Linked DNA regions of Arabidopsis thaliana. The protein of the gene in region 1 interacts with the protein of each later gene in a pairwise test. Each region holds a gene or a part of one and is shown on either strand. Other genes may lie near its edges.

What was found.
Region 2: the proteins of AT5G12010 (region 1) and AT4G25660 interact in a two-hybrid assay, tested with the Arabidopsis thaliana proteins (one large-scale study listed by BioGRID).
Region 3: the proteins of AT5G12010 (region 1) and GAMMA CA2 interact in a two-hybrid assay, tested with the Arabidopsis thaliana proteins (one large-scale study listed by BioGRID).

Annotation. Positions count from the first base shown.
Region 1 is NC_003076.8:3,877,962-3,881,717, reverse strand, and holds the start of AT5G12010 (nuclease), read left to right. Parts: upstream 1-2,060; 5' UTR 2,061-2,234; coding exon 2,235-3,743; 3' UTR 3,744-3,756.
Region 2 is NC_003075.7:13,081,666-13,085,421, forward strand, and holds the start of AT4G25660 (PPPDE putative thiol peptidase family protein), read left to right. Parts: upstream 1-1,741; 5' UTR 1,742-2,011; coding exon 2,012-2,146; intron 2,147-2,517; coding exon 2,518-2,779; intron 2,780-2,857; coding exon 2,858-2,925; intron 2,926-3,021; coding exon 3,022-3,324; 3' UTR 3,325-3,756. Other genes in the region: ACD1-like protein, read right to left, coding at 1-158, 241-580, 662-849, 973-1,488.
Region 3 is NC_003070.9:17,321,510-17,325,265, forward strand, and holds the start of GAMMA CA2 (gamma carbonic anhydrase 2), read right to left. Parts: upstream 1,976-3,756; 5' UTR 1,839-1,975; coding exon 1,724-1,838; intron 1,576-1,723; coding exon 1,432-1,575; intron 1,172-1,431; coding exon 1,046-1,171; intron 944-1,045; coding exon 792-943; intron 175-791; coding exon 1-174. Other genes in the region: AT1G47265 (uncharacterized protein), read left to right, coding at 3,059-3,289. UniProt on the Arabidopsis thaliana protein: Enzyme involved in the catabolism of H(2)CO(3) but that does not mediates the reversible hydration of carbon dioxide. Mediates complex I assembly in mitochondria and respiration. Binds HCO(3)-.

The DNA.
Region 1 (3,756 bases):
TTATTGATTAATGATTCATCAAAAGCAAGAAATGTCTTCGAGGAATCAGTCTTTCTGCCCTATGTACTCTCTTTGTCGGCTACTTTATGGACTATTATCTTTTTGCTAAATCATTCAAACTTGCTAACCAGTTGTTGTTGGTTTCTTTTGCTAGAATATTGGTGTGACTCTGCTAGATGACTTGTACAGCTGTGCTGCTTCTCGTGAATTTCTGATGGCCTGAAAGCTCTTCTCTTTCATTTCACATATTTTTATCCAAAGTACTTCAAAAATCAAATGATAGTTTAGGGATATATTTTCTACTAAATATGTATCACTAAACTAAATACTTGCAAAGTTTGATTTCAACTGCACTGGATTCTATTCTACTTTAATTTTTATATCACTTATTCATCTTTTAGTGGTTAGATTTTTTTTCTCTCCATTTTAGTGGTTAGATATGATGGTTTAATGCGTGAATTAGATTCATCATCTCTACAAAGTTATTAATCTGTTTATCATCAGTATGATATGAACTTTGCCTTCTCATTTAAAATATTTTCCAACAAACTTGAGGCCTTTAAAAAGGCAACATAGACCATTTCTTCTTCGTTAACCAACTATTCTCTGGTCACCCTATAGTTTTTGTATTGCGGTGCTTGGATTAATGTGAGAAAGATTAGTCTATATTTATACCTTTAATTTTCTGATTAAACAAGAAAAAACAACATGAATCTAGGCGAGGATGCATGAAAGAGGCCACTAATGTAAGTTATAAAAAATGTTAGCAGATCCCCTAATGCCTTCTTTATTTGGCAACTCAAGTAAACACAAAAAGAAAAGGAAGAAAAAAGGAAACGAAGCATGGGACCAAAAGTCTCCATCGGCCACCTAACGTTCCACACCGCCAAATACATTAGACTAACAAACAATGTCCGATACTTCCTTGACGTGTTCACACTTCTTTCTTTCAGTTTATAGGTACAATCATTTTGAGATCTTATTTTATAATAATATTATTGGGTTCGTATATAAGATATGTGTGTGAACACCCACTCTCCACAAGTGTATAACAAACAACGTTTACAATTATCTGTTGACAATGATAAAATAACATAAAAGAGTGGTGGAAATGGAACTCATAGTTTCTCAAACCGGTTAACTAAGAAAGAGAATCATACGTGTATTGTTCTAGGTCTTGTTCATCTCTCAATATCAAGTTATCAAAATGGAGAATTTGCCAACAAAAGTATCACAAACTATTTGAATATAAAAACAACTTATTTAGTAGTATTACATAAATATCTACGAAAATATTTACATAGCTTTTAGCTTAGGAATTGGTCTTGAGTTTCGCCTCGAAATCTTCCGATTTTATTGAAATTTACCACTTCATTCACATGTTATGTTTATTCCATCGATAAATAGCTCAAATCTATTATATATTTAGTCTAGTTCTTTTTTGTTATCTAATCTTTTTAGTTGTTATTCTGATATTCACTTTAAACATTTTGCTCGCTATCGTTTGGATTTTGTATAAAAATGAGAAAGTTAATAGTGCGTCCAAAACATATCTTAGCAACTTCGCATTCGAATCAAAATCACCATTCTGAGATAAGAAGAAATGTTTCTAAGAAAAGTACAACATAGTACTAAAACTGATAAGTTTGTACTTATAAATAGACATGCTTAATATAGTAACAAGATTGTTTTGAACAAAAGCAGCAAGCAAATTAAGAATTTGGTTTGATCATGATCACGATTCTAAGAATTAGATTCAAAATTAGTTTGTATCGCCTATATAACGTTTTAGATTCCAATTTATTCAATCAGAGTATACTGATAATTATTCGATATGTAGTCAATATTTTCCGACATATATATCCTTTAATTATATTAAAAAAACGTTTTCACATAGTTTGCTTCCAAATATGAATCTATTACAAGAATCAAACTGGTTCTGCTTTTTCTGTACCGCTGTCTAAATATTTGTCCAAAAAAATACTAAAGAATGTAACAAGAATAAAAATGAGTAATAAATAACAAGAATTTATTAAAAAGGAAAAAAGAGTACAATAGCTCTCTAGTAAAGTCAACTTGCGTGTTCACACTCGTCCCACAAGTTTCGTCTTCTCATCCCCAAAAAAAATTTCTTCAGATTTCTTATTTATGAACCCTCAAAAAAATTAATCTTCTTCTACACTCCAAAAATTCAAGACCTTTCAGAGACAAAAACGTGAAACAACACAACTTCGATGAAAGCCGCCGTTTTCCGTAACGAAGACGGAGACGAGGAGGAGGAAGAAGAAGAAGAAGAAGAAGTCTGTAATGTTTTCGACGGCGGCGAGGTAGAGTCTAAGAGAAACAACGAAACCAAAAACCTCAAAGGATTTTTCACTTCTTTGCTTTTGATGGAGGAGCACGAGAAGCAAGACCAGGAAGCTCGTAACGCTGCTTCTCGCCGTGAAATGTCTGATTTTCAATCTAATTACCGGAAAAGAGCTAGAACTATGTCCGATTACTACTCCGATCTCAACGATTACTACGCTGATGCTGAGGAAAGTGGAGATATCAATCTGAAGAAGTCACGCGTCTCACGCGCCGTCGCTTCCGTTGCTGTTGCTGCTGCTTCGGAGATTGAGGCGGAGAGCAGTGAGATAACCGGATCCGGATCGGTTCGTGGTACCGGTTCGGGTCAGCAAAGACGGTTATGGGTTAAAGATCGGAGCAGAGCTTGGTGGGAAGAGTGTAGCCGATTGGATTATCCAGAAGAAGATTTCAAAAAAGCGTTTCGAATGTCTAAATCAACGTTTGAGTTAATCTGCGATGAGCTTAATTCAGCGGTTGCTAAAGAAGACACCGCGTTAAGAAACGCGATTCCAGTGCGTCAGCGAGTCGCGGTTTGTATATGGAGATTAGCCACCGGTGAGCCACTTCGTCTTGTCTCCAAGAAGTTTGGTTTAGGAATCTCAACTTGTCACAAGCTTGTTCTTGAGGTATGTAAAGCTATTAAGGACGTTTTAATGCCTAAGTATCTTCAATGGCCAGATGATGAATCTCTTAGAAACATTAGAGAACGTTTCGAATCGGTTTCGGGTATTCCAAACGTTGTTGGCTCTATGTATACTACTCACATTCCGATTATAGCTCCTAAGATTAGTGTAGCCTCTTATTTCAATAAGAGGCATACTGAGAGGAACCAGAAGACGTCGTATTCGATTACAATTCAAGCCGTTGTGAACCCGAAAGGTGTTTTTACTGACTTGTGCATCGGATGGCCCGGGTCAATGCCGGATGATAAGGTGTTAGAGAAGTCATTGTTGTATCAAAGAGCTAACAATGGAGGTTTGTTGAAGGGGATGTGGGTTGCTGGTGGACCGGGTCATCCGTTGTTGGACTGGGTTTTGGTTCCGTATACGCAACAGAACTTGACGTGGACGCAGCATGCGTTTAATGAGAAGATGAGCGAAGTGCAGGGAGTGGCTAAGGAAGCGTTTGGGAGGTTGAAAGGGCGGTGGGCGTGTCTGCAGAAACGGACTGAAGTGAAGCTGCAGGATTTGCCTACCGTTTTGGGTGCTTGTTGTGTGCTTCACAACATATGTGAAATGAGAGAGGAGAAGATGGAGCCAGAGCTGATGGTTGAAGTGATTGATGATGAGGTTTTGCCTGAAAACGTATTGAGATCGGTTAATGCGATGAAGGCTAGAGATACTATCTCACATAATCTATTGCATCACGGCCTCGCGGGTACTTCTTTCCTATAAAGGATAATGGAAA
Region 2 (3,756 bases), on another chromosome or scaffold:
AGAATCGTATTTTGACCAATGTGAAACACCCATCTAGGGACAATCTTATCAATAAATACACCAAAATTCCTCGGGAACGTCCATATCAGCCTACTACGACCTGGACTGACCGGAATACATATAAAGATCAAAGACAATCTCCGCTTTGACAATGCCGCCTGTATACAGAACCATACTGTTAGGTAACTAAAACATGTGACTCTAAACAAGAAAATCTTGATACAAGTTAAAATCTATGACCTTGTCAGAAGCAGCTGGTGCGGGATACTCATGTTCCTGCTCTGGTAGAGGGTCTGTGGAAGAGCGATACACACATGGTGCAATAAAATTAGAATAACCCCATTCTTGTTTTGAAAAGAACCCTTTGTTGTCTAGTTTTTTAACGTTGATTTCGAGTGGTTTCCCCCCTTCTCTGTCAATCTTCTCTGCAAGAAGAATCTGAAGGTTGGTAAAAGGATTAAAACAACTATTTGAAATACAAATTATGTATTTGCCTTTTGGTTTAGGAAACCGCATCAGTCCATAATGTGCATAAGGAACATGAGCCGGGTCCATGAGGTTTTCCACCAAGACATCGTACCTGAAAGATTTCAGATTTACACAAAAACATCAACGGAGAATTACCACACATAGTTGAAATGATGTAAAAGCCAATAGATACCCGTAAGGAATATCACGATTCCCCATCAACTTAGTGAATGATGGGTCTTCTAACTCTGGAATGTAAGGAGGCTTGTTGGTTTCAATAATGTTTTTGTACTTTGGATCACTGTTTGGCCAAAACCAAATGATCTCATGCTGCACAGTACTCGGGTAAACAGCTACACAAGCTTGCTTGAAAGTGTGGACCTGATTTGCATTACCAAAATAATCATTGATACAACCAAAGACTTTGACTTTATGTTCCATATAAACCATATGCTAAACCAATCTAAAACAAACAAATCATCATCAATAGCTATAAAAATTTACCGGAGGACCATCAGGAGGAGCTTGAGGAATGAGTTTACAGTCACCGGAACCATTAAAGCACCATCCATGATAAACACATTGCAACCTCCCCCATTGATCAATCCTTCCATCAGACAAAGGAGCAAGACGATGAGGACACGTGTCATCCATCACTTTCCATTGCTTCTCGTTCCTATCCCACCAAACAACCAAATCAATCCCCATAACTTTCTTCCCATGAGGAACCTTCTTGTCAAGATCGCAAATTGGCATCACTGGGTACCAATTAGCGTACCAATCGAACTTATCCGACCCGGGTTCGAATAGGGCTTCAGGTTCCGGTGGAGAATTCGTTGACGTAGCGGCTGATGATGATGGTGGTGATGATACTGCGGTTGTGAATCGACTTGATTTGCGGGTGATAAGGGAATTAGGAGAAATGGGTAGGCTTGGATTGGAGAAGGAACATCTGAAACGAGGTTTCGTATTGAGAATTCGGAGCGATGGAAGAGCGCATGCAGCAAGAGCAGCTTCCATGGCGTTGTGTGGTGGTAACAACCGGAGAGACGAAGCAAATGAAAGTCTTCTTTACCAATCTCTTTTGACAAATTTATAATCCAACGGTTCAAATTAAAATATCTCAGGATGTATTTAAACCAATTGATAATCATTTTTCTGGTTTAATGAAAACTAAACCGGTTAATTGAAAGAGAAAGTGTCGGTTGAGTGTGAAACCGGCGTCGGCAAAGTGAGGGTATAAGGGTCCTTTCCAGACACCACAGCATCAGTTTCTTCAATCTCCCACGTCTGAGATTGAAAAGTTTGGGAGAAGATAAACAAACTCAAAATACCTCAGCTTTAGATCAAAATCTAAAAACAAGAGTTTCGTGCAGTGGTTTCTTAGAGATCTAGTAGATTAGAGAATTTGGATTTGTTGAAGAAAAGTGGATTTGGTACGATTCTATAGGTTTCCTTCTTCTCTGAAGCTACTATAGAGAGAATCTGCGAGCTCAATTTCGTAGTAAATTAGGGTTCGTGTTTCTTGGTAAAGATAGAATCAATGGCGGAGGTTGTTCTGCACATATACGATGTGACGAACAGTGGATCAGAGAAGACTAACAACACCATAGTTCAGATCAATAGGTTCTTCAAAGACGGGATCGGTCTTGGCGGTATATTCCACAGCGCTATTCAGGTACTACTACTCCACTGCCTCGATCTTCTTCGTCTTTAGTCTATCAATCTACATCTGCACATGTATCGATGATGTCTCTCTTTTGAGTTGTTGTTTGTGTGTCTGTATGTGGAAATGAAGAATTTGAAGGAATGATATTTTTGGTTTTATCTGTGAGGCTCTAATCTAATGGCATATGGTCGTAAAGGTCTCTGTAAGATCTTGAGCTTAAGCTCCCTTTTCGTCTGTACTGAGGATCTCAATACTCGGTTCTTCAAGTAATTTTAGAAACGTGTTATGGGATTATGGGTGCGATGAACTTTAGGTTTACATGTTGCTATTGATTCGCAGGGAAGAGTGATTGAATAGAATCTTGTATGAACTTTGTGCAGGTATATGGAAACGATGAATGGTCTTATGGGTATTGTGAACAAGGAACTGGTGTGTTCAGCTGTCCTAGTGGCAAGAATCCAATGTACACATATCGTGAGAAAATTGTTCTTGGGAAGACAGATTGTACAATCTTCATGGTAAATCAGATCTTGCGTGAGCTCAGCAGGGAATGGCCAGGACACACTTATGATTTGCTGTCCAAAAATTGCAATCACTTCTGCGATGTATTATGTGACCGCCTTGGTGTGCCAAAGATCCCAGGTAAAACCATTATTGTGGGAATCAGGGTTTGTGTGTGTGTTTATGTTATGTGACGGCTTGGGTTCTGTCTCTTAACAGGTTGGGTGAATCGTTTTGCTCATGCTGGCGACACAGCCTTGGAAGTAGCAGGAAACACAGCAATGCGGGTGGGTTCTCTCTCATTTTGCTCTGCCCACGCTGTTTCTTTTTTTACACCTGAATGCATGTGGATGTTAAGTCCTTGTGAACTGTGACTTTTGCAGGTAAAGCAAGCCAAAACTGAACTTGTTTCAGCCAGTAAAGTGGCTTATCGCTTCCTTTCGAATGTTACCTCAAACATAACCAATGGTTCAAATGGCTCCAGTGGCTCTCCACAGCGGCCAGGAACTCTCAACAATTCAGACAATGGGAGCTTTAGATTGCAAGGTAGTTGGTTGAAAGGTATACTTAACACTGCCAAACCCTCCACAAGTACAGAGATAGGGAACAAAGAGGAAGATACAAATCATACAATCACCAATCAGAAAAAGCAGAACCGTGACTCTGATGTTCTACTATTTCAGTAGCAACTGTACTGATCCACCCCAATGTATTCACTTACTGTATATCCACCTATCCAAAATTTATTCGTTTGTATCCATTACTTTGTATCACGATTCGAACACACCTCTCTTTTTTTTTCCCCTTTTCACAGCAGAACGTGTGATTTTGTTAAGAAGATATTTTCAACACGTTACTGGCAAAGACCAAGCAAGTCTTAGCATATGCATTGCACACCTATTAGAGGGTTTGTTAAAAGAATGTGATATAAGATAAGCAACAATGCAGTATGAAGAGACTTCAACATGTATAATAGATACAACTCAAAATGCGTCTTTAATATTACAGCGAACGAAAACAGAGTATAAGGTCTAACGTCAAGAGAAAAAAACAGAGCATTGACACCAAAGCAAGCAGAAGGCAAATGTTTATTTTAAAAACCGAATGAGGACGAGTCG
Region 3 (3,756 bases), on another chromosome or scaffold:
GCGTGCATACTTCTTCCTAAGCGCTCTCTCAACCTCGATCTGCTCAAATGACTTTGAATTCTCTGAGGCGTGAATCTGTGCGAGATTGATGTAATTCTTTGCTGACTGTGAGATGTATACTATCTCTTCATCTGTTAACTTTCTCATGAACTTTGCTGGATTTCCTCCCCACACCTGCCACATGAAACTGATAACTTATAGATATGTCCTTGTAAATATATTCTCAGGTTGACGGTTGAAGAAAGTAGTTCAAAAGCATAGCGATATAAGAAATCCGTCTAATTCCTCATAAAACATTGGAAACACAAGAACCCTCTGTTACTCCCAACTCACCCTTGTTTCATATACAAGTAGAATTGCAACGGAAACAAAGGTGGTTCTCAGATTTAGACGATATATAAATACTATTTACTCTTCTTTTTGATCAAAATATAATACAATTTACAGGCATATCATTTCATTAACTAATTCTGTATCAACTAAATTGTAAGCAAAGCAAAAGTGGATCTACTTGAAGAAGTTCAGCTGGTCAAGCCTTAGCTACAGGTCAGCGTAGGACTAAATGCAGCAGACTACAGCTGCTATTACTTGGTTAATTAGCAGTTCGTTATTAGGCTTGGTAGAGCTTCAGGGTCCGTGATAAGTAAACCTAGCTAGAGTTCTATTTTTGGTTCTTGATACTTTGGATTTTCTCGTTCAGTTTAGTGAGAAATAAAGCAGTTTCCAGTTCCAGTCTTATCACAAACTCCGTAAGCAGTAAACCAGAAAAGATAAAGTGGAAAGAAAGAAACCTCTCCAGAAGGGATTCGCGTGTTCTGTTTCACAAGAGAACCAGCAGCAACCATGGCATGTTTCTCAACCACCACACCATCAAGTAGTGTTGCTCCCATACCAACAAAAGCATCATCCTCAACAGTACACCCATGAATGACAGCACTGTGACCTGCTCCGTTTCATTTTACAAACAAAACCTTTAACTAACAATCGTGTAACACAACATAAAAACAGATACTTCAAAACTGATAAATCGCTTTTTAAGGTTTACCTACTGTTACATTGTCCCCAATCAGAGTAGGTAGAACCTTGCCACTTATGTTGGTCTTTGCAACATGTACAAGCGTATTATCTTGGATATTCGTCCCAGATCCAACACTGATGTTATTCACATCACCTGCACAAGTTAGAAACCCAGATTAACATACAATAAGTTTCACAGCTACTTCATGACACATTTTATCGACAGTACAATAAATCTATGTCCAATGATCAGGACAGTAACGTATAACAGCGATACAAGATTATTAGAAGGTAAAGAGAACTTCATTTCCTAAAACTAAACTATGACTACTTTGCACAATATACTGCTGCAAAATTTGGTACTTCTATCGAACCAAAGGCCATTAAGACTTTCTAGAAGTAATAAAGCCTCACCTCGAAGAACACAGCCATACCAAATCGACGAGCCTTTTCCGATCTGAACATCACCAATAACAGAAGCACTCGGAGCCACAAACACATCTTTATCCACCAATGGTGATTTATCAAACACATTCATCAACGTCCGATGCCTCGACACTGAAAACAAACACAAATTTCTCGAATCAAATTTTTTCAATCTAAGCCACAAATTTCTCCAATCAAAGGTGAAGACACAAATTAGAGATAACGAATTGGATCTAGGGTTTCAATAGAGAGTATTAAGTGGAAGGATCTGGAAGCTTACGATGTTCCTCGATACGGTGACTTCCTTGAAGAAGAGAACCAACGCGATCAAGAGCTTGACCAGTTCCACGAATCCAGTTACCCACAGTGTAAATTGCTCGTCCTAGGGTTCCCATTTTTTTGTGATTCTCCGATTACCCAAAGTGTGAAAATGAGAAGGCTTTGTTGTTTTTGGTGTCGCTCCACCAGATAGAGAGAGGTTTATGGAGGCGTATTGATGGGAGGATTTTTTTTTTTAACTCGAGTGAGTTCGTTTATTTTGTTGACCTCTAAATTTTTAGAGTATGGAGTGGTAACTGGTAAGCTAAACCAAACCGAAATTTATTGGTTGGACTTACAGAGATTGTGAATACAAAATCCGGATAGATTCGTTTTGCAATGTAAGGAGATGGAACAAAGCTTTCAGGAGACAAACACAAAAATGAGTAAAATAATTAATATAATTTAGCAAAGAAAATAAAGAGATAAAAATAGAGATATTAGCTTATATTGTGCATTGGATATTGGAAGTATTGCATAAAGCAAAGAAATAGTTTTTAGTATAAGGATTGGAAAAAACATTGTTTGTATCTAAAATGGGGTCAAGAATGTAGAAGATGGAGTTTCTTGGGTGTTTTTCTTGGAGTTATACTAGAAAGAAGTCGGGCAAGTGATATTTACGCGTGGGCGATTTCTCTCTCAAATTTTTTTCTTCTTATAATCACAATCTCTTGTTCCGTCAATAAGTTTTTTCGTTGACTCCAGCGACGAAGAAACCCATTGGGACATGGTGCTTCAACCGTGATCCGCTACATCTTCTCGGCAATTCAATCTATTCAAAATCAAGGGAGCAGTGGAGGGCAAATGCGGCATTAGGGGAGTGCAAGAGGAGCAATTGCACAGGATCCAAAAATTATTTGATCAAAATTAAAGGGTAAAATAAAAAAATTTATCAAATTTGAGGTCAAAAAGATAATTTTGACTAAATCTGAGGGCCATAATAAAATTTTAACTAAATGTAAGGGCCAAACTCAAAATATTTAGTATAAAAGGGCTAAATTTGAAAATTTGTACAGTGACAGAGAATATATTGAGTTGGCCCTGGTGGAGGGGAGAAGATTATGCGAGACACTGTCGGTAAGAGCTATATCGGTGGTGTGGCTTCACGGAGAGGAAGGATGAGACTTCACAGTGAAGAACAAGGGCTGACGGCGGTTAGGTCGGAAGTCTAAAGATTCTGGAGGTTTCATTGGGTCGCCGCTTGATGGGGGAGGTCGACTCCGCTTCGGTGAGGCTTTACCACCGTCGATGGTCTTGAGATCTACTCACTACTGCCGTCAACTCTCTCGACTGAGCTATGAGATTCATGACTATGGCAACCCGGATCGCCTCTTCCTCCTCAAAACTGCTCTACGGTGGCAGGAGGACAACGGATCCTGAATTACCATCTCCGTTCGACGAATCTCGTCTAGGCTCCCCAAAGGGTTTCTGTTCCGGTGAGATTCTGCAATTCTTGGACGGCGGCTCAGATCGTGTTTTACGATATGAGATTAGGATTTTCAACTTTCGGTTTAGATCGGTTTTGTAATAGATGGTTTAGTCTGGTTATATGTAAGTGGATTGAGTCTAAGGGAAAATGTATGAGCCTAAATCCGGAAATAGTCCATTGGACCTTATTTATAACATTGAAAACCATTTTACAAAAAAAAAGATGGAGTCTCTTTTCTTAGGGTCTCCACCTCTCTTTATAGTCTTTTCCTTCCTCCTATGTATCTTTATTTGGCCATTAGGTACATATCTAGCTCATAAAATAACTCTCATAATTAATTCGTAAACTTGAATGGCAAGTTTACTCCTTAAACCATGACCATTAATTCATAAATTTAATCACAAATTAATATCAAGATTTAACCACCTTTCTTATGCAAGATGTACATTCTTTGCTCTGTAAAGTGATGGAACTTGGATGCGTAAGATGGATTTGTCGTGCGCGATCCGGTATCAACATAAGCTTGAGTTCTTTGAGTAAGGTTATTTGCTTGAAGACTAATATTC